4 separate regions of the Mus musculus genome follow, and all the other regions are reported to be linked to region 3. The links are microRNA targets in miRTarBase. Many come from high-throughput screens and were not tested one by one. Region 3 holds a microRNA gene; each other region holds the end of a gene's coding sequence.

Evidence for each region. Region 3 holds the annotated microRNA mmu-miR-3971 (CUCCCCACCCCUGUACCAGUGA, at 2,880-2,901, shown strand). A microRNA usually pairs through its seed, bases 2 to 8, with sites in the 3' UTR of a target mRNA and lowers its output. Matches are read on the target gene's strand: a 7mer-m8 pairs with bases 2 to 8, a 7mer-A1 pairs with bases 2 to 7 and ends in A, and an 8mer does both.
Region 1: miRTarBase lists Ilvbl as a target of mmu-miR-3971. Seed matches in the 3' UTR shown: 8mer at 475-482 and 8mer at 490-497.
Region 2: miRTarBase lists Egr2 as a target of mmu-miR-3971. Seed matches in the 3' UTR shown: 7mer-m8 at 1,801-1,807.
Region 4: the mRNA of Golga2 is a reported target of mmu-miR-3971. Seed matches in the 3' UTR shown: 7mer-A1 at 6,433-6,439.

What each region holds. Positions count from the first base shown.
Region 1 is chr10:78,583,882-78,590,974 of GRCm38, forward strand. It overlaps Ilvbl (ilvB (bacterial acetolactate synthase)-like), which reads left to right. Exons shown (of 15, transcript NM_001359302.1): 14 at 1-102; 15 at 189-621. The coding sequence ends at 367. It overlaps Syde1 (synapse defective 1, Rho GTPase, homolog 1 (C. elegans)), which reads right to left. Exons shown (of 8, transcript NM_027875.1): 2 at 6,021-6,362; 3 at 5,220-5,864; 4 at 4,826-5,040; 5 at 3,450-3,576; 6 at 3,078-3,238; 7 at 2,209-2,434; 8 at 622-2,030. The coding sequence ends at 1,621. Among named protein-coding and RNA genes, the nearest start is that of Syde1, 4.5 kb to the right of the region's middle.
Region 2 is chr10:67,539,644-67,546,758 of GRCm38, forward strand. Egr2 (early growth response 2) reads left to right here. Exons shown (of 4, transcript NM_001373983.1): 4 at 102-2,545. The coding sequence ends at 1,345. Ado (2-aminoethanethiol (cysteamine) dioxygenase) reads right to left here. Exons shown (of 1, transcript NM_001005419.2): 1 at 4,868-7,115. Among named protein-coding and RNA genes, the nearest start is that of Ado, 5.8 kb to the right of the region's middle.
Region 3 is chr11:75,548,601-75,555,715 of GRCm38, forward strand. Mir3971 (microRNA 3971) reads left to right here and starts at 2,829; the gene lies at 2,829-2,911. The region is part of intron 5 of Slc43a2 (solute carrier family 43, member 2); the gene reads left to right.
Region 4 is chr2:32,306,065-32,313,179 of GRCm38, reverse strand. Golga2 (golgi autoantigen, golgin subfamily a, 2) reads right to left here. Exons shown (of 26, transcript NM_001080968.2): 24 at 7,097-7,115; 25 at 6,864-7,020; 26 at 5,267-6,774. The coding sequence ends at 6,560. It overlaps Dnm1 (dynamin 1), which reads left to right. Exons shown (of 23, transcript NM_001301737.1): 20 at 255-496; 21 at 838-1,053; 22 at 2,693-2,729; 23 at 4,116-4,709. The coding sequence ends at 2,714. Among named protein-coding and RNA genes, the nearest start is that of Gm23363, 8.6 kb to the left of the region's middle.

The sequences.
Region 1 (7,093 bases), not on the chromosome of region 3:
CAGTGATAGCCTTGGTAGGAAACGATGCAGGTTGGACCCAGATTTCTCGAGAGCAGGTGCCCAGGTTGGGCAGTGATGTAGCCTGTAGCCTGGCTTACACTGGTGAGGTGTCATGGTGTTTTGGGCCCAGCTGGGCTTCTGTTAACTCTCTGGGTGTCTCTGCTATGGCCTGACATATTTTCTTTTAGATTATCACAAGGCAGCCATGGGCCTGGGGGCCCAGGGATTGATACTCTCACGGGACAATAAGGATCAAGTGGTCAAGGTACTTCGTGAAGGCCAGCAGCTGTGCCAGGATGGTCATGCAGTTGTGGTCAACATCCTGATTGGGAGGACAGACTTCCGAGATGGCTCCATTTCTGTATAGGGACTATCCAGGGTTAGTGTGCTTGCCTCTTTGGACCAGGACTTTGTCTACCTGGAGTTTTCATCCTTGCCTGTCCTGAGCTTGTCTCATAAGGTCTAACCCTCTAAGTGGGGAATGTGGGGGTGGGGAACCAAAGCTCAAAGAGGCACCTTGGCAACCCTGGGTAGCTCTTTCCAAAAGGTTCAGCTGTACCCTCTCTCTTACAAAATTAATAAATCTCTTGGCTATATGAGCCCAAGGACTCAGTCACAGAATCTGTGTATACTGGTTTATTTACTGTTCACAAAGATGGAAGTGGTGGAAAGAAGTGGGAGACAGGAAGGGGCCCTAACTCTGTCACCATTGGAAGATTTTGGGGTGCCAGGCAATGGAAAATCCTATCCCACTCTATGGTCCCTGAAAGAGTTCCACATATCCATTCCACACAGGCCAGTGCACACGAATCCTCACACACAGACACACATGCATGGAGGCAATAAATATTTTCCGTACCAAAGATCCCCCAGCCTGATACCTCAGGTGGGGTCCCTCCAAAAGGGGAGGAGTTAAGTGCTCAGTTTTTCAAGGGTGGGGAAGGGCTGCTGGGGAAAGGAAAGGTCTGACTCTGTCTCCATTTGCTGGTTGGAAATTCATCTCGGAGTTTTTGCTAGAAGAGAGGGTTAGGGGAAATCACCTGTTTCTCTCTAAGCTCCAGGCCACCTTTTCACAGGTAGAGGCAGAGTCTGGTGCTGTTTCCCTTAAGTAGAATCCCATGATTGCCTTTAGATACTTCAAGGGAGGGAGAGAGAGTGTAGTGCTCAATGCTAATACTGGTTTGGTTGGCAGCAGCAAGAGGGTTGACTAGGGATGTTTTAACACCCCAGGGTGATGCTCACAGTAATTGGTGTTCCCCTGCAAAGGGGAGGCAAGAGAGGCCAGCCTAGCAAGCAGAACTGTTTCTGGCAGCAAGAGAAGCCCCAATGCTCGGGAGAGGGGCCATGGCATCAGTGCTGAAAATGCCAAGAGCCTGGTTTCTGCAGCTAGGGCCCCAAACAATGGCACTAGGAATTGGGAATGATTTTTTTAGCATGGAAGGCTGGCCCCTTGGCAACTCCCTAGCAACCAGGTGCTCAGTCTGAGCAACTCTGGTCAGGTCCTTTTAGGTCATCAGGGCCTTAGTAACTTGGAACCCAGTCACCAGTAATCAGAACCTGGTCCTTAGCAACCAGGAAGCAATTCCTTAGTAACCAGAGTCCATCCCCTGCTTTGAGGGCTCAGAGGCACACATTGATCTGCTTGGAGAGTTCTCTCTCCAGATCCAGGATGAGGGCATCAAAGTCTTTGAGATTCAGGTGTGGGTTGAAGGGTGCATCAAACTCATCTTCGAAGTCGGTAGTGCCCCTCGGCTCTCCAGTCTCATCATCATCTTCCTCACTGTCGCTGCCTGTCACATGGTCATAGTCAGGCCCGGACAGGAAGTCCCGCCCACAGGGCAGTAAATCGCCTCCGCACACACTCCAGTCGCCTGCATAGCGGTTGCTTGGGGGACTTTCGGGGCCTCCGCGGCCCCGAGGCCGAGTCACCACTTCTGGGCCCGCCAGCGGCAAGTGCAGAGGTGGCTGTCTTTTGGGCCTCAAATACGGTGCGACTGCGCCATCTGGGGTATCTGAGGGCCGTCTGGTATCTGCGGGGTCCAAAAGGAGGATAAGTTGTGATACAAGGGAGTGGTCCCTGATTGGCCTTTTGAGAGGCAAGCTTACAAATTTAACTCACTCATGACCCTCCTTAGATTCCAACCCATGATTGGTCAGTAGGGAAGCATAAATGTGTAAGGGAGGCTGACTGGGATGGGCGGTGTTCACCTGGCCAAGACTGTAACAGGTAATGCAGGACTTCAATGTGGCGCTTGAAGTCCACAGCACTGGTGACTCCTGGGCCAGAGCTACGGAGCCGGGGCCGAGAGGGTGTTTGTCTCGCTGGTAGCAACACTGGTCCGAAGCACACTGCCAAGTTCTGCGGGGTCATGCGGTTGTGGGTGTGGAAGGAAGAGACAAGGCGCAGATGGTCCAGAAGAAGCGTCAGGGTGGCCTGTGGAGAGAGTTGCTAGGGTGGGCACGAGGCGGGCAAACCTGAACCCTTGTGGCACTTGCAGGATAGTCAGGGGTGGCTTAGAGTGGAGGCACTTCAGTTCAAGTTCTCATAGCCAGAGGGGAGGGGTTAGTATTAGGAATGCATTTTGCCAAAGTTGAGATTAAGACCAAAAGCAATTTAGCTTTGGAATGGAAGGGTTTGAACTCCAACCCATGCCGTGTTTGGCAATTTCAAGGACTTTTCTAAGATCTCACAGCCAGTATTTTTGCTTGTGTTAGGTTGGCAGATCTGTTTGCTCAGTTTGCTAGGCAGCCCAGTCTGGCTTGGAAGTGGCTATGTGGCTCAGGCTGGCCTCCAACTAGAAATCCTCTTGCTTTTGACTCTTGAGTGCTAGGAGTAGAGGCGTGTAACACCGTGCCTGGATAGAGCCTGTGTTTGGACAGATCTGGCTGTTTGACCTCAGGCAAATCACCAAACTGAGCCTTGATTTTTTTTTTTTTAACCCAGGAATTGACAGATGAATATCAAGTACTTGTTGGCATTGATGATCATGTATGATGATTACATCTTAGGCATGCTTAAAGCACTACACTGGTATTAGCTGCTCTATGAGCCAAAGTTCCTAGCATGGCCGACTCACCCTCTCCACATCTGGCAGGCATCTGAGGAGCCCTCTGGTGCCCTCAGGACCCAGGGAAGCCCTGCTTGGGTGTCCTTGGGCCATGGCTTCCAGCACCACCTGGTAGAGGGGCTGGGTGATGAGTGGAGTAGGCAGTTCTCGAAGATAATCCTTGAGGATGCCTGTGGACAGAGGGGTTCTCTCTGGTTAAGGTACCCTGGCTTCTGAAGCCAGAGGAGGGGTCACTGGGGCTGACAGTGGTAGTGAGAAGAGGGCAGGTATAAGAAATGAAAATAGGATCAGACAGGAGAGAGGAGGGTTCACAGGAGGCCTCCAGAGCAGCCTGGAGGTGACAACTGAAAGAAGTGAGCAGGCAGTGGAGAAATGGCTGACCTGTGATGACATTGATATCAGGGTACACATCTTCAGAGAGGCACACAGCCGCACTGTCCTGCTCAAAGGCATCTCGAAGCTCTTTCTTCACTGCTGCTGAGCCACACAGACGGTACAGCCCCACTACCTGGGGATAAAGAGAAAGAACGTCTTCCTGGAGGGCCATAAGACAGCAAAGCCTGGATATTTGGACAAGGGTGACTGTGGATGTGATGGCCTGGGAGGGTAGGGCCATTCACATGCATCTTCACTGGCTGCCTTCCCATTGCTGTCACAGGGGCCCTGAGCCAGGCCTAGTACTTCAGCACTCTGAGGCCAAGGCAGGAGGGTCACTTAGGCTATAATATAGTGTGTGTTCAAGGTAAGCCTAGGTAACTTGGTGAAACCCTGTCTCAAAAAATAAAATGAAGGCTGAGGGTGTAGCTCAACAGTAAAGTGCTTGCTGAGCAAGTATGAGGGCCTATGTTCAATCCCCAGCACTAGGAATAAAACAAAACCAGAGACACATAACCTAGCTTTCTAAATTCCCCAAGGTTGGACCACTTGTCTAGAGTCTCTTTCCTCTGACTTCACAGTTCACATCTTCCAGGAAGCCTTCTCACACTAACCCAAGCAAGTCAGGAAGTGAGGGCCCGCTTTAAGCTGTCCTATACCCTCCCCTCCTTACTGCTTCTTTCCTTTCCTTTCCTTTCCTTTCCTTTCCTTTCCTTTCCTTTCCTTTCCTTTCCTTTCCTTTCCTTTCCTTTCCTTTCCTTTCCTTTCCTTTCCTTCTCTCTCTCTCTCCCCTTCCTTCCTTCCTTCCTTCCTTCCTTCCTTCCTTCCTTCCTTCCTTCCTTTCTTTTTTTCGACAGGTGCCACCACACTAGGCTACCTCCTTTCTTTCTTTCTTTCTTTCTTTCTTTCTTTCTTTCTTTCTTTCTTTCTTTCTTTCTTTCTTTCTTTTTTTAGAGGCTAAGGGCATTTTTGCCACTAGCTGGACAACCTGAGTTTGATCCTTAGGACCCACATGATGGAAGGAGAGAACCAACTATTTTATCTCCATATCTGCACTGTGGTGTGGTACACACAGATGCACACATATTCCATACCAAGCAAATAATATGTTTTTAAAAACTAAAGAGAGTTAGTGATAGGCTACCTCCTTTCTTAACTCCCCCTGGCTACCTCCTTTCTTAACCCCCCCTGCCAGCTAGTTTGACATTTATGAAAGTCCAATCATCTTTCTCACTCCAAAGACTGAGCTCCATGAGGGCTAAGCTCTTGTAATAAAAAGGACAGATGATCCGTGGGTCCTGATGCTGGGGAGGGAGTGTTGTTTAAGGGGTTCCAAGGAGTATGTATGTCTAAGGCAGCAGGAGTGGGGGCAGCCAGCTCACCCGCAGCCCTCGGCATTCGATCTGCCCCACACACTTTCGGATGATGAGAGGCACCTGGCCTGGGGACTGCTCACGTTCTACCAGAAGCTGCAGAGGGAGCCCGAAAACACGGGGCTCTGCTGTGGCAGGGGCTTCTTGCTGTTCCGACAATGTTAGCTTGGCGTAAAGAAGTCCCTGGGGTTCAAGTCGAACGGCCAGTTGTTGCGCTTGGCACCCTAAAGATGCAAGGAGGACTGAGGCAATTTTATCCTAAAAGTTTCTGTGTCCTGACTCCCCTCATCTAGAACACCCCTCAATCATGAAGCCCAGCCACCATGGGCACCATGGGAGAACAGGAGGCCCTTAGGTGGGTCTTTGTTTCTTGCTCTTACTTCCTGGAAGTCCCACGTCTTACCTCGAAAGATGGTTGGCAATAGCACAGTGCCCTGGGCACAGGGCCGGTGCCGCCTCACACCAGGGTCCCATGCAAGTACCAAGGCCCGCAGCAGACGAGCAGCCTCCAGCTCTAGGTGGAAGGTGTGGTCCAGCCTCAGGAAGTCTGGTCCGCTTCGAAGTGGCCCTGTGCGGGCCCGAGCTACCCCATCCACTTGGAGAAGGCAGCAGAGATCTCGTGGAGTAGCCCCGGGACTTGGTCGCAGACCCCCTAGCCCATACAGGTGCAGGCTGAGACGCCCCCAGAGGGCAGCTGGAGGAGTCCGGGCCGATGGACCCACTTCATAGGGCCGGAAGGCAGTGGGTGATGGTGGTCCTCCAGGACGCTCAGGCGAATCACCATCGCTGAGGTACCCACCCCTTGGGCTCCTAGACCCTCCAGCCACTGATGCCTGCCCAGGAGTCCCCACACTGCTGTCCAGGTGATAGCGGCTGATGACAGAGCCTGCTGGGGCGGTCCTCTCTCTATCCCGGCCTGTGCGAGTACTTCTTAGGCTTAGGCGGCGCCGGAGCTCTGGCAGCTTTTTCATCTTCATTGAGAGGCGCCTGGCAGGGCCTGGGGACTTGGTACGGGAGGTTTTGGTAGGGGGGCTGGTAGGGGCTGCACCTGTAGGGAGAGCAAACTTCAGAGTCCAGGGCCTGGGATTGGAGTATGAATCTTATGGTCCTTGCGGGGCTGAGGATAATAAGGCTTAGGAACACCTGGAGTATAGGGTTTGAGGCTTGTGCATGCTTGTAGGTGAATATAACACTTTGTGCTTACCTTGGATGTTGGGGCCTTCTGGCTCAGAGGAAGCTAGCTGTGATCCCAAGGGCTCAGGTGCGGGTGGTCTGGGGTCTTCTTCAGGGATGGGGTTGTACCAAATCTCACCAGCAGGCTCCCCACTGCTAGGTGTCCTAGGCCCCAAAGAGATCTCCTCTGGTGGTTTAGCCCCTCCTAGCACCCATCGGCGGCTACTGGGCTCCAGGCTTTGCAGGTAGGCCCCCCGAGTGGGGCTTCGAGGTGTCTCGGGGCTGGGTGGTACCTCTGCTCCAGCCTGAGACCCTTCAAGGACACGAGGTTCTGGTTCTGGGGGTTTGGGCTCTGAGCGCTGGGCTGGGTGGCCTGGTGGAGAATGAAGATGGTAAGACCCAACTCTCAAGTTCCCAGAGGTCCAGGGAGGCAGTCTAGCTAATTGGCTTCAGCCCTCACTTCACATAACCAATCGACAGCAAGGAAGCTCTTTGCTAGCCTGGAGCCACTGCCTCCTTTGGAACCAGCTGTTTTGTTTGGTCCTAGCAGCTAGCTAATACTTTTGCAGTCCTAGCTTCAAGGTCCCCTGCCCTAGCCCCTAGTAATGCAAAAGGGACTGTGAATCAGCCTCAAGAGTCCAGGTCAAATGTCCTTGGAACCTCAGGACATTTCGGCTCTGTCACCCCTCTCCCAGACATTCCATTAATCCTAGAATCTTACGCCTGCCCCTTCTCATTGAGTGGCCTTGAGCAAGGCATTTTTCCTGATGCTCCATGTCTTGTTTATGAGGAGATTCAGTATTATCATATTCTCTTCTCGACCCCCTTCCAGCTTGGAGCTCAGTGTGAGAAGCAACTTTAGACAATAGGATCTGTAGCCCTGCTCAAGGCCCTAGTAGCTGCTGCTGGGAAGGCAGGGCAGGGAACGCTGGTTTCTTTTTCATTCAGCACCCTTTTCCCATTTCCCAAATCCTGCCCACAAGTTCTCTTGGATCTTGCCCCTCAGCCCAAGCCAGATTTCTACAGTCAGTGCCCCGTTACCCCGCCCCCCTTATCTTGGCTCTACTTTCTCTGACATCATGGTCGATTTCCTGTGTGTGTTTA
Region 2 (7,115 bases), not on the chromosome of region 3:
TGTGTGTGTGTGTGTGTCCGCGCGTCAGCATGCGTGTATGTGAATTAGTTCTTGCCTGTATTCTCATTGTCCCACCTCTTCCCTGACTTTTCCCTCCCCAGATGGCATGATCAACATTGACATGACTGGAGAGAAGAGACCCCTGGATCTCCCGTATCCGAGTAGCTTCGCTCCCATCTCTGCACCTAGAAACCAGACCTTCACTTACATGGGCAAATTCTCCATTGACCCACAGTACCCTGGTGCCAGCTGCTATCCAGAAGGTATCATCAATATTGTGAGTGCGGGCATCTTGCAAGGGGTCACCCCTCCAGCTTCAACCACAGCCTCCTCCAGCGTCACCTCCGCCTCCCCCAACCCACTGGCCACGGGACCCCTGGGTGTGTGTACCATGTCCCAGACTCAGCCTGAACTGGACCACCTCTACTCTCCGCCACCACCTCCTCCTCCTTATTCGGGCTGTACAGGAGATCTCTACCAGGATCCTTCAGCATTCTTATCGCCGCCATCCACCACTTCCACCTCCTCTCTGGCCTACCAGCCACCTCCTTCCTACCCATCCCCCAAGCCAGCTATGGACCCAGGTCTCATTCCTATGATCCCAGACTATCCTGGATTTTTTCCATCTCCGTGCCAGAGAGATCCACACGGTGCTGCTGGCCCAGATCGAAAGCCGTTTCCCTGTCCTCTGGACTCCCTGCGAGTGCCCCCTCCACTCACGCCACTCTCTACCATCCGTAATTTTACTCTGGGGGGTCCCGGTGCTGGAGTCACGGGACCAGGAGCAAGTGGAGGTGGTGAGGGACCTCGGCTGCCTGGCAGTGGGTCTGCAGCAGTGACTGCCACCCCTTATAATCCGCACCACCTGCCATTGCGGCCCATCCTGCGACCTCGAAAGTACCCTAACAGGCCCAGCAAAACGCCAGTGCACGAAAGGCCCTATCCCTGCCCAGCAGAAGGTTGTGATAGGAGGTTCTCACGCTCTGATGAGCTGACCAGGCACATCCGAATCCACACGGGCCACAAGCCCTTCCAGTGTCGGATCTGCATGCGAAACTTCAGCCGAAGTGACCACCTTACTACTCACATCCGAACCCACACCGGGGAGAAGCCCTTTGCCTGTGACTATTGTGGCCGCAAGTTTGCCAGGAGTGACGAAAGGAAGCGCCACACCAAGATCCACCTTCGGCAGAAGGAACGGAAGAGCAGTGCTCCCTCTGCACCTCCATCTGCCCAGTCTTCAGCCTCTGGTCCTGGGGGCTCGCAGGCCGGGGGCAGCCTGTGCGGTAACAGCGCCATTGGAGGACCACTGGCCTCCTGCACCTCTCGAACCAGGACACCGTGAGATGAAGCTCTGGCTGACACACCAGTTTCTCCAGGCCCCAGAGGCCCTCTGTCCGAGCTGCCAACACTACCACCCTTCCCTGTTCCTCCCCATGATCCCGTGATCTGGGCAAAGGACCTTGATGGAGCCCAGCTCTGTCCCACCTTCTCACGGACGGCCTTCCGAAAACTTAGGCCATTTGAAGGGAGTTGACTGTCACTCCAAGAAATGGGGGAGCAAAAAGAGGGCTGGGTGAGGGCCCCTGGCCTACAGGGCTGCGCTCTGACCCTGACTGAGAGATGTCTGACTATGGTCTGCTAGCCCTTTCCGTTGACCCTGGATGCCAGTTGTTCTGAGACTTTTTCTACAATAGGTTGGGAGTTGCTGATTCCTTTGATCGAGGACAGCGGAAAAGACTAAATTAAAGCAAAACTGATGTGGCACTTTAATGGCTTGGGACTGACTTGGGGGTGGGGGTGGGGAGTTGTACAGTGAGCAGAGCCTCATCCTGGCTGCTGCACTCTGGCCCTAGAGCAGTGAATGGAGGTTTCTCTGGCCATCTCAACCCTTAAGCAATATGTCCTAGAAACTCAAGAGAATGGAAGTGCAATGTCGGGCAGGACAAAGCAATATTGGCTCCTTTTTTTGTTGTAGTTGAGGAACAAAGATTATTTTTTCAGTGTATATCCATTTAGATTTTGTGTATTTTTGATGTGCACTGCTCTCCGAGTTCTGAACCTTCGGGAAAAAAATGTAAAGCATTTATGATCTCTTGAAATGAGTCAAAGGTTAACTAACTTATTTAAAGGGGGACGTACATAGGATGCATGCAGTGAGTGGTGTTGCAAGTGTCCTCTGTGCCTTGTGTGATGTGGGCAGTGTTAACAGGGTCTGCATGTGTACAGGATGCCTTACTATGGGAACAGAAAAATCACTCCTTGGGTTTAAGTATGGCTGTATATTTCTGCCTATTAATATTTGGAATTTTTTTAGAAAGTATATTTTTGTATGCTCTGTTTTGTGACTTAAAAGTGTTACCTTTGTAGCCAAATTTCAGGTGAGAATGTGCTTCAATGTCACTGCCGCTGATTTGTTTGGTTATTAGCTCTTAATAGTTGTGGAGAGAGAAACAATCTATTCTAACATAAAAAAACCACTAACTGGAGTTCAGATAATGGATGGCTTATTGACTATGGTGTAAATAAATACTTTTCAACAATATTCTGGTTGCAGAGATCATTTCTGAAGTACTTACTGGGTGGAGTTAAAATAGTTATTGACATCTGAGAACTAGGAACAAACACCGCTTTAGTGAGGGGTTAGCACAAGCCCTCCATGTTCCCTTGCTGGCCTGTGGATAACAAGCCCTACCTAGCTAGGCTTCAGGGATTTCCCGCTGAGTTAGTGAGGAAGCCTTCTGACTCACTGTTCTGTCCCCTGTAACAGCCTATAGCTTCTCTCTGCTCCTGAGTGGGCTCCGGAAAATAAATACTTACAAGCAAGTGCCCACTCAGAGATGACACCCCCCAGGGCTGCTTTCAGAACTCTGACCACGGCCTGGAACTCTGAGTTGTGGCTTTGTGGAAAGTGTGGCAGCATGGTCAAATTAGAAATGACTTTCTGAGTTCCAGGATTAATCTTACAACCACAGGAAACTTTTTCAAAGAGCTATCATTCCTTCAGATCAAACCTGCTCGGACACCGCTGATGCCAGCTGATGCCAATGAAACGGCTTCAGCAATTACCCCAGGACTCATTTCTCTCCAGTCCTGGCGTCTCAGATGGTTGCCCATGTTTGGAGGGATCATTTGTCACAAGCTTGGTGGATCTAGAAATGATTCTCAAAATAGCTTAAGATAGGTAGACACGAGGCTGTAAAACTCCAAGACAATCTAAACTTACTAGGTAAGCTGCCTCCCCCAAAACATTATAAAACTCTAAGGTTTCTTTTTTACTGGGAACATTTTATCATTTTCTTTTAAACTCAAAACCATCTGACCTACCCACTTGTGTTATGCGCGTTGGCATCTTTACTCTGAAAATCTGGACCTCAATATTTATAATGTCCACTGCTCCTTATGCAATGTAATCTGCGGGTGTAGCCACACTGCTCAGCCTCAACAGAAAACCCCTCCCTTGCTTCTGGTCCCTGTAAAGTCCCTGAGGCTGATGGCTACTAATCAAGGGCTTGCATTCTACAGTGGTGGTCACATCTTTGGCCCTTAACAGCACAAGGATAAGAGATTCAATTTATGGAGGCCACTAGTGCCCCTCCCCAGTCTCCTTCCTTTAACCCCCTTTCATGGGTATAGAAACTTCTTTCCAGAACTCCTAAATAGAAATTTCAAAACCTTTAGTGTGGGATGGTTTCCTTATAATTTCCCACTGGACTCGGGCTGTCAACTACCAAAACTATTATTGTTACTTATCCAATACTGGCAACTATAAAGCCACACCACATCGTGGTAACTTTTAAATACCTTTCTCCTGCAAAACTTTCATTATTTAAAGATAGTACACACCTAAATTTTGTAGTTTTTAGCTATCTTTAAAATTTTAATTTTGGACCACATTCAATCAAGATCACCCAAGCCAGGATTTTAAAAGCAAGACTAAACATCACTTAAAGAACAAGACAAAAAGAAGTCTCCATGCTAAAGCACACCGGTTATGTGATCAGTTCCATCCTGGTGTGGTAGCAAACCTCCCCAACAAGCCATAAGATTCAGTACACCTGAATGGTCAGAGCTACCCTTTCTGCTTCTGTCCCCAGTTACTTACATACCCGATATCTTTAACCAACTTTCTCAGTTTAAAAGCATTCAGGCCAATTCTCCTGACATTTAAAATTTTTGCCTAAGAAATCACCACAGAATGGTAAATTTGGTTCTTTTAATCCCTCCCCTGCGTCCCCCAAATGTTTCAGGTTTTGTGCAGAGAGATTCCTTAAGAGATTCATGCCAGAGATGGTTTCATTTGTATAACAAACAGCTGATGAAACCTAAATGACTTCCTCAAGCCAGGATATTTAATATCCGTATCCTAATTGTTTACGAGACCAAGGCAAATCATTTCATAAAAGTTTTCAACTGTTGGAACAATTCAGCATGTGTGTGGAGGCATGTAGATAGACTCCTAAATGCTGCCAGTCCAAATGGTAACCATGGAATTACTAAGACAAAAAAAAGAGATGAAAACACTTTAAGCCTTAAGATTTTCTTTCCTTTTAGGATAAAAATTGACTTTGTTTTTCTTGCTAGTTTCTTTAGATTAAATACAAAAGCAGCCTTTTCTGTTACAGCAAAATAGTGTAATTAGACAGTAAATACTCTCAGATGTATTTTCAGTCGGCTTGCTTCAAAGACCACTCACAAGAAAACAAACTAAGTTTATACCACTTCTTGGTCTTTGGGGGATCTGTAGGTCACTGGCTTTTGATACAATACAACCTTATGGAATAAACTGTGAGTTTTCAACAATAATTAAAATAGTAATAGTTATGTTTCCCTTCTCCACTTTGCAATAAGCAACATTATTTCTACGTAATTTTAAACATGCTTTTATTTCCCATAAGTACACACATCTTACTCAGAAACGTAAACACCCCTGCACTGTAAGACTGGGTATTGTTAAGAAATGATCTCCTTTGACAGCAGAAACCTCAGCACAATGGACCAATCTGGGTTCTGTATAACCCTACACTCTGAATTCAGGCCTGCGGTAGAGGAGCAAACGCTGTCAGGAGAGTGGCAGAGTGACGAAGTGGGGGTAACTGTCTCTCTGCTGGGCAGGACAGGAGAGCTAAAGCAGTTGACTCATTTGCCATCAGAGCAGGTAGGTTCTCCCCAGATGTCAAGTTCAAGGAACCTACAAGACAATGCAAGGATCGAGTGGGGAAGGAAAGGTGTACATTTTGACAGTCATGTTAAAAACTCAAGAGAACTCACTCCTATTAACATAGAAAACACATTACCTAAAAGGCAGGGTTTTTTTTTTGTTGTTGTTGTTTTTTAATGTAATCAGCAGCATGTGGTAGTAAACCCATCAATTCTCAAAGGAGTAGGAAGGTATGAAAATCTTACATCGATATAACTGGTCACTGATAGAACTACAAGGTTGAAAAGGTTCAGTGTATTTAGACAGACAGACAGACAGCGTCTCACTCAGGATCTAGTTATTGCATTTATTATTCATCAGAACAGTTAAGTGACTTAACACCATTGTGCTCATTGGTCTTTTCTAAGAAAAGGAGAAGGTAACTTTTATCCTAATTTCTAGACCACAATCTATATTGTAGACCTACAGGGAAACACAACGGCAGAAGTTATAGCTAATAGTTTATGCATAGACGTGCAAGGATTTTTCTGCACATTTTATCTTAGTAACGAGCATATTCTTTCTCAAGTGGCTCATTAAAACATATTACACTGTTTTCACCGTAAGTTTACTCAGTTTATTAGTGAAATGACAGTTTCACTGTTCCTATTGAACTAATGAGGAACACAGTATTGCTGTTTTAGCTCAGAACAATTTCGTTACTCTTTTGAAAAGCACCTTAGGGTTTTTTTCCTTCCAAACTGCTTATAACAAACCTTTAATATTTCTCCTCCTTCTTTTGCAATGAAGGCCTTCATAATAATTGTTATTACTAGCCCAATTCCAGGCTAGACTTCTACAGGCTCCATGAAAGGACCTCCAGAGTATGCTGTAAAGTACACATGACTCTCAACAATCCTTGTAAAGGAATCAACCTTTGCTGCAATTCAAAATCTGTATGTGGCTGAAAAACCATATTCATTATTAATATTCTATGAAAATAGTCAAATTTAAAACCATCACTTCCTATCTAGATGTTCATACGAGTGGCTCAAAGAGCTGCTTCGAGAGGCTCCAAAGGCATTTTAAAGACCATGATCAGAAAGAACTTGAACTCTAGCAGCCATGGTGGAAGTGTTTGGGTGTTGCTCATGGTTTGTCAGGTTTAAAGCAGGTTTCCACTGGCCTGTTGTTCTCATTTTTATTAAAATGAAACAAACAAACAAACAAACAAAAAGCCACAAGCCAAGCCAGCAATAATTTGCTGTCTCGTACCACTTTAATGACTGCACCGGGAAGGACACCCCTTCAGCCTGGATGTGTATCCTGGATACATGGAGCCAAAAGCAGTTTGTTTCCCTGCCAGGTCAACAAACATTTGTCACTCATGACAGTAAGTCTCCATTTATTGCCGATATTAGTATATTCTATTGCCACATGAGCCATCAAGAGAGCTTAGAAGACAGCTGGGCACATCTGATTTCTACAGTTTGTCTTTATGAAAAGGCCTGTGATAAAAAGGAACCCTACACATAGTAAACAGGGGAAACTGGTGGTCCATGGTCAGAATCGATAGACACGTCTGTAAACATGGTAAAGGGGCTGAGCCTCCGCCAGCCATAATACTGCAGCAGCGCTAGGGTTTGCTGCAGTGTTGGCATAGGGTTTAGTCTCCAATCTTGGTGCCCTAAATGGCTAAATTCTCAAGCATCTATTCCATGTATCCATTTCATATGTGTGTGTGTACATACATATGTATATGTGTATATATACATATTCATATGTTATGTATACACACACATTTATATGATGGTGTCTTATGCATCCACGGTTCCGCTCAAATTCACTATGTAGCCAAGTCTGACCTTGACTTCTGATCCTCCTGCCTATATTTCCTAAATGCTGTGTGCTACACTTGGTTTATGTGGTACTGAGGATTGAGCCCAGGGCTTCTTGCCTGCTTAGCCAGCAGCCT
Region 3 (7,115 bases):
AACTCACTCTGTAGACCAGGCTGGCCTCAAACTCTGAAATCCGCCTGCCTCTGCCTCCGAAGGGCTGGGATTAAAGGCGTGTGCCACCACTGCCCGGCGGGAATGAACTTTTTTTATTAAATACCTTTTTATACAGTGAGCCCTCTTGCTGGTCCTCTTCTGTCTTATTTATTTTTTTGTTTTTTTAAAGTCTCACTAATGTTGCCATGGCTGGCCTGGCATTTGCTGAGTAGACCAGGGTAGTTCCAAATTCACAGAGTCTGTTCCTGCTTCCTAGGTGCTGGGGCTAAAGGGGTGTTTAAATGTTTCATCCTTTAAAAATTAGGCGGTTTGACACCATAAAAAATGATACATCATAAACTTTTTCTTTTCTAATAAGACATCCATTCTCTTACCTCTTTTATATTGTTATAAGCCCTGCCTGCTTTTGAACTTACCATTTTGCCCAGGCTGGCCTTCCCTCCTGACCCTCCTGCTTTCCCCTCTCAAGAGCTCAGATTACAGATGTATTCCCTGTCCCTGGCCACTGTCATCAGTGTGTCTTTTTATTGAATTGCTTCTTTGTATTGCTTCATTTATCTCATTTTCCTTCATATTGCTTTTTCCTCTTCATACTTTGTAAAACTATCTTTGAAATACAAATAATCTCTCTGTAGGAGTAAAGGGTTTATCTAGGGCCTTGAGATTTCTGTATGGTCCATGAACATGCTCCAGAAAAAATATGCACTCAGACAAGCAACCAGTGTACATACACGTTCTGTTCAGGGGCATTGTGGAATGTCGGTTGCTTTCAGCGTCATCGTGTGTGTGTGTGTGTGTGTGTGTGTGTGTGTGTGTGTGTGTGTGCGCGCGCGCGCGCGCTAGTTGGTACACAGGCACTGTGTAATGCATTTGATAGGAGGGGATCCACCCTTGTAAGGGAGGTATAGGGCTTGTCCTCTGACGTCTTTATCTTGGACCTATATTTTGGGGGTCAATGAGTTGCCACCCCAGGCCAACTCCAAACGTCTGCCTGTTTTTTATAAACAAGGTTTTGCCTGAACTACAACGTGCCAGCTTGCTCATGTGTTGTCTGTGAATGTGCTCCTGCCACAGGGGCTCTTGGGCTGTCATGACAGAGACCATATGGCCCACAAAGACAGAAATGTTTACCGTCTGGCCCTTCATGGAAAAACATTTGCCAACTTTGTGTCTAGAGGCCCCAAGACACTACACTGCTCTCCACCTGAGGACAGAGGGTCAGTACCTCCCGCAGACACTCCCACCCCCAAGTTGTACAGGTTAGGTCTCTAAGCACTTTTAAAGTCACCTTCTTCACCCCTCCCCCAGCTGGAGGAGCTCCCTGGACATTCCTTTGTCCCGTGAGCCTTCTCACGGGACCTGAGAGCTCATGAGAGTCAACCCTGAGAGGGAACAGGAAATGGGTCACCGAGGACAGACTGAGGCTCTTAGGCAATGTCCCTGGGCTGCTGATGCTTTCTGCTGAGCAGAGCTGAATCTCATTCTGACACAGCACGGGCCTTTAAAAAAGTAGAGCCCTCAGGACCAGCTCGCAGACACACAGGCTGGCAGTGCAGTGGCACTTTCTTTCTGTTTGTGACTCCCGTCCATGTTTTCATTTTGGAGACAAAAGAGTTTTCAAGGTTGCCTTTAGAACTCCCTAAATCAAATCCATAAGGACTTTTAAACAGAATGGCTCTGTGATAACCTGGGAATGTCGGGGAATGTGTTGTCAGGGAAACCTTCAATTGGGGACTTTCTCAGGCCCGAGGGCTTTGTATGGCATGGACTGTGGGCTGGTACACTCATTGGTGGAGAAGGGGCCCCAAGTTGGCAAGATGCCTTTTCCTCACAATCCAGAAGGAGGTGTCCCATAGCTTCCCCCACCTCTCACCTCCCACCCTCCCCCCTCACAGAGCCTTGGGAGTCTACACTCTGTCCTCCTCACTATAGTCCTTTCCTCCAGTGTGGAGGTTCCAAGGCTATCCAACTGTCATGGCTGTTTAGCTCAGGTCTCTTGCAGCACTGGGCCTGGGGATCCCAGAGGGAGGAACACGGCAATCCACTGGTGCAAGCACACACCGGTGCTGGAGAGCCTTAGCCTGCCCTGGACATCTGGTCAGCACACTCTGGTCTGTTTGCTCAATGTCTCTAGTTTGTACAGCCCTTTAGTTCGCTCCGTCAGCTGAAGCACAAACATCGGCCAGCGGCTGAGGTGGCGTCTTTGGGCCGACACCCCACAATCCAGGGCCTGGGTTGCTTAGAGATGGGAACAGATGCAGCCAAAATTGTGAACATATCTTTTCCACTTCATTACCCTGACCCTTGTCAGTGTGGGCGGGATGGGGAGTTCTGGTCTGAAACTCTTATGGAAGAGTGGTTACAAAATGTTCAGGGGGAAAAATCTCTCTGTGGGCTTTCCCTATTTTATTCATTGGAGTTTGGCTTTAAACATGAGGAATAAATGACCTCAGGGGAATTAGATTGCTGTGAGTAAGGACCCGAGGGACAGGTGTGGAAGCAAATAGCCCCCTGTGAGCGGATGTGAGGCCAGCAGCCATCCTGCGAAGTCCTATTCTACCAAGTAGAATTTCATCTGCCTCCCTACCTGGAGAGCCTAGGTACCAGGCAGGTAAAACTCTCCCGGTATCAGAGCAGAGCCCACTTAGCCTCTGATTCCCATCCATATCTTGGGAAGCCAAAGCAGTCAGTGGATGGCCATCAGCCTGGGGGATATTGGCCATTTTTTCAGAGGGCTTCTACGTGATAAATTTGCTGCACATGACATGTGCAGAGGTTGACAGGAGGCAGTGGGGGTGTCGCCAGGGATCTGGGCTTGGCAGGTGGAATGGGAGGTGGCAGGGAGAAGGCAGTTTTCCCTCCCCACCCCTGTACCAGTGAAGCGGAAAGGTGACCGCATGGGCCCATGATATGTGCTGAGGGCTGCCTGCTTGTTTCAGTTAGGGAATGGCTCAGCTTTACTGAGTCCACTTGTCCAGACTAGTTCCTGGGTAGGTAGTCTGAACAAGAGAGATGGACTGGATCCTGGCCTATGCAGACTTTTCTGAACTCGGGGTGTATATAACAGGCAGCTGAGGACAAAGCTTATCTCCTTGAAAGGACCACAGACCTAGAATGTCACCCACTGCTTGGCTCTGTGACTTCATTAGAGAGTCAGAGAGTACCCTCATGGTGAATGGATTCAGGAGGCCTTAGATATGAAAAAAGGACTGACATTCATCCTGTCTTTGCCTCTCCTGGGGGTTCCTGTGAAAAGACGCACACATCTTTGGATATCTTAGGGTCCCTAAGGAAGATGGTCTAAACTGTTTTTGGCCATGGCCTCTGGGGATTCTTGTCCAGTGGCCTGAACTCCAGGGGAGGGGCTGCCTGCAGCTGCTGTTTTCCCCTCTGGGAATGTGACACAGCTGGGCCTGTTTATGGTACAGCTGAGGGACTGAGGGAGAGTGAGTCATCTGGGCGAGGGAAGGCCTACCATGAGGCCCAGGAGCTCAGGCACAGAGGACAGGTTTTACTTAGCAGAGTGGAGGCAGCAAAGTGGCTGCGAGAAGAAACCAGGAGCTGGGAGAGGGGCTTAGGCTGCCTCCCCGTGTGTGCCTGGGAGTCAGGAGGCAACCTCTGCGGAGCGGAGCGGATCGTTCCCCCTGGCACCTGTCCCCGCAGCATGGCTCCAGCTTCCTATTTGGCAGCAGAGCTGGTTTTCCCCTCCAGCAGGCCCTCGAGGCCTCACTAAGGCAGTCAGCTTAACACTCAGACAGCACTAACTACATCACCACCATCTCAGCACCATTACATCTGACAGGGCTGGGCAGGGGCAGGAGGATAGAAGACAGAATAAGCAAGGAGAGACAAGACTAGTGAGAGAGGGGACCCAGCTCGGGAAGACAGACACAGGGCAAGTTCGTATACAAGCACACATCCCTGTGCGGAATGGTCCTGGATCACAGGTGTCAGCTGAAGGCAGAATTGAACAGAGGCTGGTAGATCTAAGAGAAGCATGTGAAGGGATAGAAGAATCCACAGTGAGCGGAATCAGACAGGATGCTCAATAAAGAATACCCGAGGAAAGAGACAACATTTGAGGGGAAGTGACTTGAGATCCAAACAGCAAGAGTTTCGAATCCTAAGATTGACCTTGCCCAGCTTGAGGGAGTCTTTTGACCCTTAAATGTTTTGTGTAACTCAGGCTGGCAGGGGTGACCATGAATTTCTGATCCTTCCTCCCTCCACCTCGGGAGGGGAGGGCTGGATTACAGGTACGCACCACATGCCTGGTTTAGACTCTGAAAGTTTTGTAAGTGGTGAATGGGCAAGGAACAGTTGCTTTCAGGATTTTAAAGATATAGAAAGCAGGTGCTAAAAATAGTTGCTATTAGTATACATGCTCTTTACTGGGAAGGAAATCTGACCACACTGCTCCCGAGCCAACCCGTGAGGGAAATCTCCTGCAGGCAGGCCGGCCTCCGGCTTTGGAAAGAGGAGAAGGACCCCGCCTGAGGGAGAGAACACAATTAGTGTTACCACTTAGGTACGAGTAACCAATACCACCAGGAAACTTTCCCTGCCTTTCTGAGTCTTACCCTCTCCTGAGCCCTCTGACTATTGCTGGGATGTTTATGTTTTGGGTTTCCTTAGTCAAGGTCAGCCTCAGGCTCCTTGCTGAGCAGTTTTGTCCAGTATAAGCCCTGGTAGCCCTCAAGCCAAAACAGGCGTGGACTATCTTGCCCTCTCTCTTTCCCACAGTTTTTGAAACAGAGTTAAATTATTTTAACACAGACTGGCCTCATGCTTCTAATTCTCCTCCTGTCATTTCATAAGTGCTAGGACTACAGAAATGTGCCACTGTACCCAGCTTCATTACCTATTTGAAATATGTCTTTTTGTTTTTTTGGTTTTTCGAGACAGGGTTTCTCTGTATAGTCCTGGCTGTCCTGGAACTCACTTTGTAGACCAGGCTGGCCTTGAGCTCAGAAATCCTTAAAAAAAAATTAAGAGCAGGGTGGTGGTGGAGCATGACTTTAGTCCCAGCACTTGAGATCAGCCTGGTGTACAGAGCAAGTTCCAGGACACCCAGGGCTACACAAAAACTCTGTCTCAAAAACAAAATTATACATTAAGAGGAAATTAGATGACAAAGAAAAACATACTTATATGTGGTCATACAGAATGCCTGACTTTTATTTTTAATATATTTTTACTAATTTTTTTAGTTTGGTATACAAAATAGTAGGTCTTATTAGGACATGCTCATATGCACATGTAACTGTGCCTCCTCTGGCTTTCCTCCTCATGTCCTTCCTCCTCAAAAACCCCTTCCAGTGCTACAGACTAAACCTAGGACCTCACACGGTATGCGAGGATTCTACCACTGAGCCGACTCTCAGACCACAACTGTCTTTACGAGTGAATCTTTGTAGAAGGCTTAATTCGTCTTTTTTCCACCCTCCATCATCTAGATTACTTTGAATTAATTATCAGTAATTAATTCTATCCATATATGCAACTAAAGTGTGTGGTACTGAGTGCGGATGTGGGCTCTAGCATATGCCAGGCAAGTATGCTTTGAAGCAAGAGTGTTGGTGGAGTGGCTAGTGTTGAAGGTGCACACACTGTTGGTGGGGTATCAGCTGGCACATCTCTCCTGTAAGACAGTTTGTCGGAGTATGGTAAATCCTAGAAAGTGCATTCCTTTCCCTTAGCAATTCTTGCTTTGCTGCGGGGATTTTCCTTGAGATGGCAGACACCTAACCTCCCCTTCATCCTGAAGACTCGTCACTGAGCTGTGGGAGGCGGTTTCATGCTCCAGATCTAGCTGCTTTAGGAGGCTGAGGCACGAAGACCGTGAGTTCAAGGCCAGCACAGCTAATTTTTTTCTGTTTTTCTGAGACAGGGTTTCTCTGTGTAGCCCTGGCTGTCCTGGAACTCACTCTGTAGACCAGGCTGGCCTCGAACTCAGAAATCTGCCTGCCTCTGCCTCCCAAGTGCTGGGATTAATGGAGTGCACCACCACCGCCCAGCCCAACAGCTAATATTGTAAGACCTTGTTTTCTAAGACAAATTAGTCAGGTCTGGCAGTACAGGGCCTGTAGTCCTAGTGACTTGGGAAATTGGGGTTGAAAGATCTCTAAGTTAAAAAAGCCTACCTAGGCTGCAGAGTGAGTTCGAGGCCAGCTGGGACAAATCAGTGAGACCCTGGTTTAAAAGGAGAAGGCAGGCTGTAGCTGTACCTCTGTGGTAAAGCACTTGCCAAACCTGTGCACAGCCTTGCGTTACAGTTCTAGTACTGAGCCCCATACCCCACGACTGAAATCATTTTATGAATAAATACAAAAAGACTTAGGGTCTAAAACCAGAGACCTGGTTTCCTAAATTATAGACCATCCAGGTAAGCAAATAGTAGGCAGTCATTTCAGATTGTGTCAGGAAGGAAGAGGAAACTGTTTAGAAAACACTTTATAATAATATATCAGGTTAGAAGGGAAAAGGTGACGCATGCCTGTAACCCTAGTTCTTAGGAGGTAGTGGAAGAGTTATCTCTCCAGCCCCTAATAGCAAGTTTGAAGCTAACCTGGGCTACGTGAGACCCTATCTTAAAGATAAAAGCAGGGCTGGTGAGATGGCTCAGTGGGTAAGAGCACCCGATTGCTTTTCCAAAGGTCCAGAGTTCAAATCCCAGCAACCACATGGTGGTGGCTCACAACCATCTGTAACGAGATCTGACACCCTCTTCTGGTGTGTCTGAAGACAGCTACAGTGTACTTACATGTAATAAATAAATCTTAAAAAAAAAAAAACAGTGTGGAGGGGCTGGAGCGATGGCTCGGTGGTTAAGAGCTCTGGCTGCTCCTCTAGACGTCCTAGTTTGATCCCCAGCACCCACATGGCAGCTCACAACATCTGTAACTCCATTCTCAGGGATCCAACACCTTCTGACCTCCTTAGGTTCCTACACACATAGACATACTTGCAGGCAGAGCACCCATACACATAGAATAAAATAAAATACTAACCATGTGGTAGTGCATGCCTTTAATCCCAGCACTGGAGTGGCAGAGGCAGGCAGATCTACATGAGTTCAGGGCTAGGGCTGCTAT
Region 4 (7,115 bases), not on the chromosome of region 3:
TATATTCTGAGTTTCCTCCCGGATCTGAAGCCTAGGGCAGGTGACTTCCCTATCCCGCTGTGTATTCTTGTCTGAGAAAAGGACATTAAGATGGGATTTGAAGAGACCTGCGAATTTAGGCATCAAGCAGAAGTAGCCATCTGAAATACCAAACCCCAGCTCCCAGTTCTGTACCCAGATCCAGCAGGTCTGGCCTGCGACAAGGTGGCAGGGTCTTCGGGTTCTAGCTTCCTTCCTTCCTTCTCTGTGCACAGACCAAGGAGTTTATCTTCTCTGAGCTGCTGGCCAACCTGTACTCTTGCGGGGACCAGAACACACTGATGGAAGAATCGGCCGAGCAGGCTCAGCGGCGCGACGAGATGCTGCGCATGTACCACGCACTGAAGGAGGCGCTCAGTATTATCGGCGACATCAACACGACCACCGTCAGCACGCCCATGCCCCCGCCCGTGGACGACTCCTGGCTGCAGGTGCAGAGCGTACCGGCCGGACGCAGGTACCAGGGCCGGCCCCCACGGCCCCAAAGCCCCCCAACCCGGGGCCCGCGGGAGGAGGGCCGGGACCAGGCAGTGGCGCGCCGGGGTCTCGGGGGCTCCCACCTGGAGCGAGGGGAGGAGCTTAGAAGAGGGCGGGGCTTATTGCGGGGCGGGGCTTGCCAAGAGCGCTGGCTGCAGGGTGGGTGGCGCCGCTGGGGATCCGGCTTAGGCTCCCACGCTAAGGCCGCTGTGGGCGGGGCTTGCTGCATGGGCGGGGACAGCCTGGGCTGAGGGCGGGGTCTCTGTTGGGGCGGAGCCGCTCATCTCTGCTCCGCGCTTCTTCTGCTCTTGTCGCCGGTAGATCGCCCACGTCCAGCCCCACGCCGCAGCGCCGAGCCCCCGCCGTGCCCCCAGCCCGGCCCGGATCGCGGGGCCCTGCTCCTGGGCCTCCGCCTGCTGGATCCGCCCTGGGGGGGGCGCCCCCCGTGCCCTCCAGGCCGGGGGCTTCCCCTGACCCCTTTGGCCCCCCTCCCCAGGTGCCCTCGCGCCCCAACCGCGCCCCGCCTGGGGTCCCCAGGTGAGTAGGGGCTTAAAGCCCCGGGAAAGGCCGCCAGGCGGGCGTAACCCGGAGGGAGGTAGAGTCGGATAGATCCTCGGCCTAGCAGCAGAAGCGACCCTCTCCATCTTAGGCGTTGGGGTCGTAATGCAAGGCCAAGGGACCTGCGGCCACGGGCAGGCGGTCCTGCCCCGCAGGGGGCGCTGAGTCCCGGAGGTGGTCGTTTCTGGGAAGGGGGCTCTGGGGCTCAAACCACTTGCCCCCTTCTTTTCAGCACTTGCATGGCGCTTCCCTCTTTTTTTCATTTTCTCTCTGTGGCTCCCACACTTTGCATTTCTTAAACCCTTGCCTTCCATCCTCCTCCATTCCACTCTTCACTGACCCGGCCCAGCTCCTGGTGAGCCTAACTCAGGTCTAGGTTTCTGAACCGTGTGGTTTTCTTCAGTTACATTCAGAGCTACCTTGATGCCCCACTTTCCCCAGCTCTGACTCTTTTGAGCTGTCCCAGAATGCTGTTCAGCCTCTGGCCCACAGTGTCAGGCCAGGCTGTGACTGTGTGACCAAGCAAGGTGTGATGATGTGTATGTGGGCGTGCACACGGGTGTGAATGTGAGATCGGCACCCAGGTGCGGACTAGGATAGAAAGCAGCTGGGGATGGGATCTAGGAATGGTGAACAGTCTGGTGGTCTGAAACCAGATGGTGGGTAGGGACAAGGATCAAAGACTACCCTGCTGCTAGAGATCTCCAGGAAAAAGGAATATACTTCATCCCTTGGCTTTGCCTTCTTTATCCATGACTGGCCTTCCAGGAAGCTCACTCTAGTAACCAACTCAGTCTGCCCTGTTTCTGCTGACTGTGGCTGGTCTCTGAGAAAGAACACATGATCTGATAGACCAAAAGCATCTATCTGGGAATCTAGATGACTGAAGGACAGAGCTAGGGGCCTAGCCCCCATACACTAAACGAGGCAGGGATGGGCTTACTCTGTGGGACTCTAATGTCTGGAACAGTTAAGACAGGACTGGGAGTCCAGAAATGCTGGTTCACTTCCCTTAGGCAAGTCATTTTCCCTCTCAGGGCTTTAGTTTCCTTCTAAATACATGTGTGTCCCCTGACATTTCCCCAGGGGAGTGTGAGATTGACAGAGACAGTGGGCTGCTTTACTAATGGTCAATGGTAGGGTGGGGTAGGTTGGAGATTTGTAGAGACTCAATGATATAGGGAGCCATGGAAGGTTCTTGAGCAAAGAAATGACAGCTGGATCCTAAAGTGCAAGCCCTGTCCTTTACGGAGCCCTATGGTAACCCTGTCAGCACACCAGGCCTGGATGTGCAGGGAGCTGGTGCAAAGGCCTTCTCTGTGCAGGCGAGCTTCTGTGTTGTGACAGCTCATGCGTGTGCTTCTGTGTGCTGAGTGGCTGCATGTCCCAGATCCGTGCTGCACGACGTATTGGCCGGCAATGGTGCTGGGCACTGGGAGGTGGGAGGGAGATATATGCGTGTTTGTGGGCATGTGTGTTAACGTGTGCACGCAGGGCCTTAAGGCCTCACAGCATGTGTGTGCACGCCCAGGCGTGTGCGTGTGTGTGTCCCCTAACCCCCAGCCTGGCCCACCTGTGTGTTTGTGAACTGCCCTGTTGATTTCGTGCTGTCTTTCAGAATCACTATCAGTGACCCCTGAGGAGTGTCAGCTACGGTAGGTTATGCTCTCAGCCTGCTGCATGAACAGTGTGTCTACCCCTCCCTCCTCGCTGCACCAGCTCCATGCTGAGGACACCTGGGACCCCTGAGCCAGGCCCCTCCTCCTTCTCCTGCAGCTCTGGACTCCCTCTTCCTGTCCTCTTCCAGCTGGCTCTCTCACTTCCCTTTCCAGTGAGCCTCGGGACTCAGCGCCACTACTCAAGGCCTTCTTGCTTAAACTGAGGGCTCTTGGAACAGGTTTCATGTCCAAGACGGTAGATGTGGGTGCTCCCTGGAGACACCAGACCACTGTTGACAGTGTAGGGACTAAGAACTAGGAGAGGGTGTCTTCAGCCTCTGAAGGGGCCAGAAGCGTTAGGACCCCCTCTTCATACCTACTCTGAACTATGCTGCCAAGATAAGAGCTTTCTCCTTCCAGCCTAGGAGCATGGCGACTAAATTCACCACAGGGCAAGCATGAGAATCGCGCTGGCAAAGCCAGGCTCTGACTGGTGACTTTAGACAACTTAAGAGCCTTTGCCTTTCTGCCAGCGCCTGAGGGCTCGCAGGCAAGGTGAGGATCTCATTCATCCTTGACATTGCACACCTGTAGCTAACAGCCACCTCGTCAGCCCCCGACATAGAGCCAGCCCATCAGCTCCAACATTTGACCTGTTTTCAGAGTGACCTGTGCCTTTTAGCCGAAGGCAATGCATTGTCTACTGACTGGGAAAGTCAACTTGAGTTCTGCCTGGCTGGCCACAGATCTCGGTTACCCTGTCCCAACTCTTCCCCAGCCATTGACGCTCACCCTTCTGCTTTTCCCCAGCAGGAAGGGCCCAGCCTCACCTACGAGACCTGCAGCCCCCCGACCAACGGAGGCTCCCCTCTTAGACTTATAAGTCTGTGGCCGCAGGCATCGGCTGCCTGCCTCCCAGCCTCCCCAGGGTCCCCTCAGAGGACTCCTGACTTTCTGACCACCTGAGGGGCCTCCAGCGCTCCCTCCAGCCATCCCCTTTAGCTTCAATCTCCTGGTTCAAGCACTTCTGGCCTCATGGCTGTTACATGGGACTCCCTGAGGCTTGGGGTGGCCCTGAGCCAGTGAGATGAGAGACAGTGAGCAAAAATGAGGGAGGCCCTGTGGTGCATTGCCTGGGTGGTGTGTGAGAGGCCGTGTGTGTGGCAAGAGAGGGCCACCAGCCTCTACTCAGACTACCTGCTAGTTACGGCCCAGCACCCCATCTTCCCTTTCATTCATCAACTGTGCATCTCTTCCGGGAACCCTGCCCACATCCACACCTGCCTCAGCCCCTGCCTCTGCTGGAGGTGGCTGCTCTTGCCTTACCAGCTCTCCTTCCTTTTCTCTCTTCCGTTCTCTCTCGGCTTTCTCTCCAACTGCCAGCCGATCGGGTCAGGCAAGTCCGTCCCGTCCTGAGAGCCCCAGGCCCCCCTTCGACCTCTAACCAGATCCCTCCTACTCCTCGGAGACCTCCCTTACCAAGCCTGCCTGGACAGCTGTTCTGTGACTTGACAGTGGCTCCCCCGGCCCCAAAGCGTCCTATTCATCATCTGTGACTTAGTCTGTTGTAGTGGTGAGCTGACACATCCAGATGTGATGTTGGTGAAAACTTGTGCCCCTCTGTGGTATTGCTCCTGCGACATTCTATAAATATCTATAAATATACCTATATATACATATATATACATATATATGGCTGACACAGCCTCGCCTGTAGTGTCAGAATCAACCACCATGCTGTCCTTGTGGAGTCTTGTGGTCCAACAAGGGAACGCTGTCATCCTGACAACCCCCCCTCCAGTGTACCACCTCCAGTGAGCCCCCCTGTCCTCCTGGCCTGTGAACAGCCATCCCCTTGGCCATCCCAACCCTGCAGCAAGGGGATGCTGCAGCAGCAGCAGCTGTGCAGTTCTCTGGTAGCCACCAGTCTTGCTGTCTCTTGGCTGAGAATAAAACCCATTTCTGGATCATGGGGAATTGCGTGTACCTCTGCTGGTTTGTATTCTCTGGGGCTGAGAGGACGGTGTAAACTGGGCACTGAATGGAGGGTGAGGAAAGGCCCTTGCTAGGGTGCTTGTGAGTTTAGCAGGTCCTCATCCTACGAATCCTGCTTACACCACTAGGGGGCAGTATCATGAGCTCAGCCAGGATGCTGTGAACAGCCTAAAGAACAAAACAGGTCTCTAGTGTGGACAGACTAAGGGGAAGGGTCGGAATGTAAGAGGCCTGGCCTGGAAGTCAGCGCCCTTAGTTGCTGCACCCCGAGTCCCACCTATGTATACTATATGTCAGGCTTGACTCTCTTACTCAGTAAGGAAGCTCTGTCCCTGTAGCCCCATGGTACTCCCCCTGGGGTCCCTAGGCTTCAATAGGCAGTGTATAGGTGATAGGTGTCAATCAGCCCTGCCAGGCACTTCAGACCTTGGGCTCCATACAGGCCAGAAGCCTGCTCTCTCCAGGCAGGACACATTCCCTGCTCAGTGCCAGCCTGAGGCTAACCCCAGAACCAATGACGAACACCCTAGGCCCAGCAGTATGGCTAAATCCATTTATTTCCCAAGTAAAAAGCAAAATAAAGAGGAGCTGCATCAGCAGGTGCCACAACCTTGTCTCCGCCTCCTGCCCTCTGACCTAACACTACCAATAAATAAGGTTCCCAGCCCAAAGTGATTATTAGAAGCTCTTCCCATTTGCCAGCTCCAACCTCCACTATGATACAGGGGTGTCCCTACCCCGGTATATACAAAATAGTACACAGGTACAATATGTACACCGGGGGAGGGGAAGGCCACCCTGCCCCAGCAGCCTCTGTCCTGCTTGGCGTAGTTACCCCAATTGTCATAAGGCCTGAGAGAATGGTACCCACTTTCCCTGTCCCAAAGTGCCTCAAAAAGATGGAAGCCCTCCAAAGTGGGATGCCTTCCTGAGGCAGTTAGCCCCAACTGCCTGAGGACCCATGAAGTGCTGCCCAGCCCCACTGCCCTAAAGTGCCTCTGAGAAGATGGGAGTTGATCTGGGGACCTGCTGTGCCCTGGGTTCCATCCCCAGCATCACCACACAAAGGAAAAAGGCAGGGAGTGCTGGGGGTAAATCACTTGGTAGAGTGCCTGCTTAGCACTGCCAACCACCAGGCACAGCGGTGAGGCAGGGGCTCAGCTCGGGCTACAGGAGACACTCCGTAAAGAAAATGAAGATAAAATGGGGGCGGGGAGGAAAAGGAGGATAGGGAGGACTGAGCCGGTGAAAACTTAGAAGCCCTGCTGAATGCTAGGCCAGTTTACCAGCCTGCACTGCACCTGGGCACGAGAATGCTGCCACTCTGTTCTGCCCCAGAGTCCTGAGTAAGGCCTGAGGCCCTCCTTGGTGAGAAAGCCCCCAGGCCACCCAGCACAGTCTGCTCCATCACTGAGTCTCTGGCGTTCTTTCTGTAACAGGAATTTACAAAGTAAAACTGCCCTGGCTAAGAGGCAGATCTGTACCAGTCTGTGTCCCCCATTAAGATAGGAGCCTGATCTTTTGGTTTTTTCAGACAGGGTCGCATGTAGCCCAGTGTGGCCTCAAACTCACTAGGTAGATGAGGATGGCTGATTCTTCCACCTCCACTTCCCAAGCACTCAAATTACAGGTATCAGCCTTTTCAGAGGTACTGGGGACCCAAGGCTGTGTGCACAGCAGGCAAGCACTCTACCAACTGAGCTACTTCCCCAGCCCCTGGAGGGGATGGAGTCTGACCTTATTATTATTATAAAGATAAGGGTGGCTGAGGAAGGGTGTGGGTTGGGGCAGAACCTCTGGCTGCCCTTGCTGAGGCTTTGGCCGCCAGTCTTTTATACAACCATGATCTTCACCTCGTCGTTCTCATCGGCACGGTAGAAAAAGGGGATGCAAGGGTTGCTACCCAGGCCTGGCCGCTCCCGGGGGTTCTGGATCTCACGCAGCAGCTGCATGATCTGCTGTGCAGTAGGGTTCTCATGGGGAGCAGGTACCCCTGCCTCTCCTTGTGCAGGCTCTATATCGTCAGCCAGGCTCACCTCCCTGAGGTCTTTAGAGAAAGGGGGAGGGGGTCATGGCTCTGCACGCCATGGGACTCCTCCCCTTTGTGCCTTCCCAAGAGACAACAGCTCTACTCACCATCCTGCTGGTCAGCAGCACCAAATTCCTGGGAGCCTGTGGGCACTGGGGTGAGCACGTCACCAGGGTTCTGAGAGACGGCCAGGAACTTGCCCTGCCATTCATTGCGCTCGTTCACAAGCCTCAACACCAGCTCCTGGAGCTCCAGCAGCTTCACCTGGAGAAAAAGGAGCTCAACTTGAAGGGCCCAGCCCAGATTAGGCAGGGCCTGGACTACAGAAGTGTAGGCCTACCTTCATCTCCTCCTTGTCC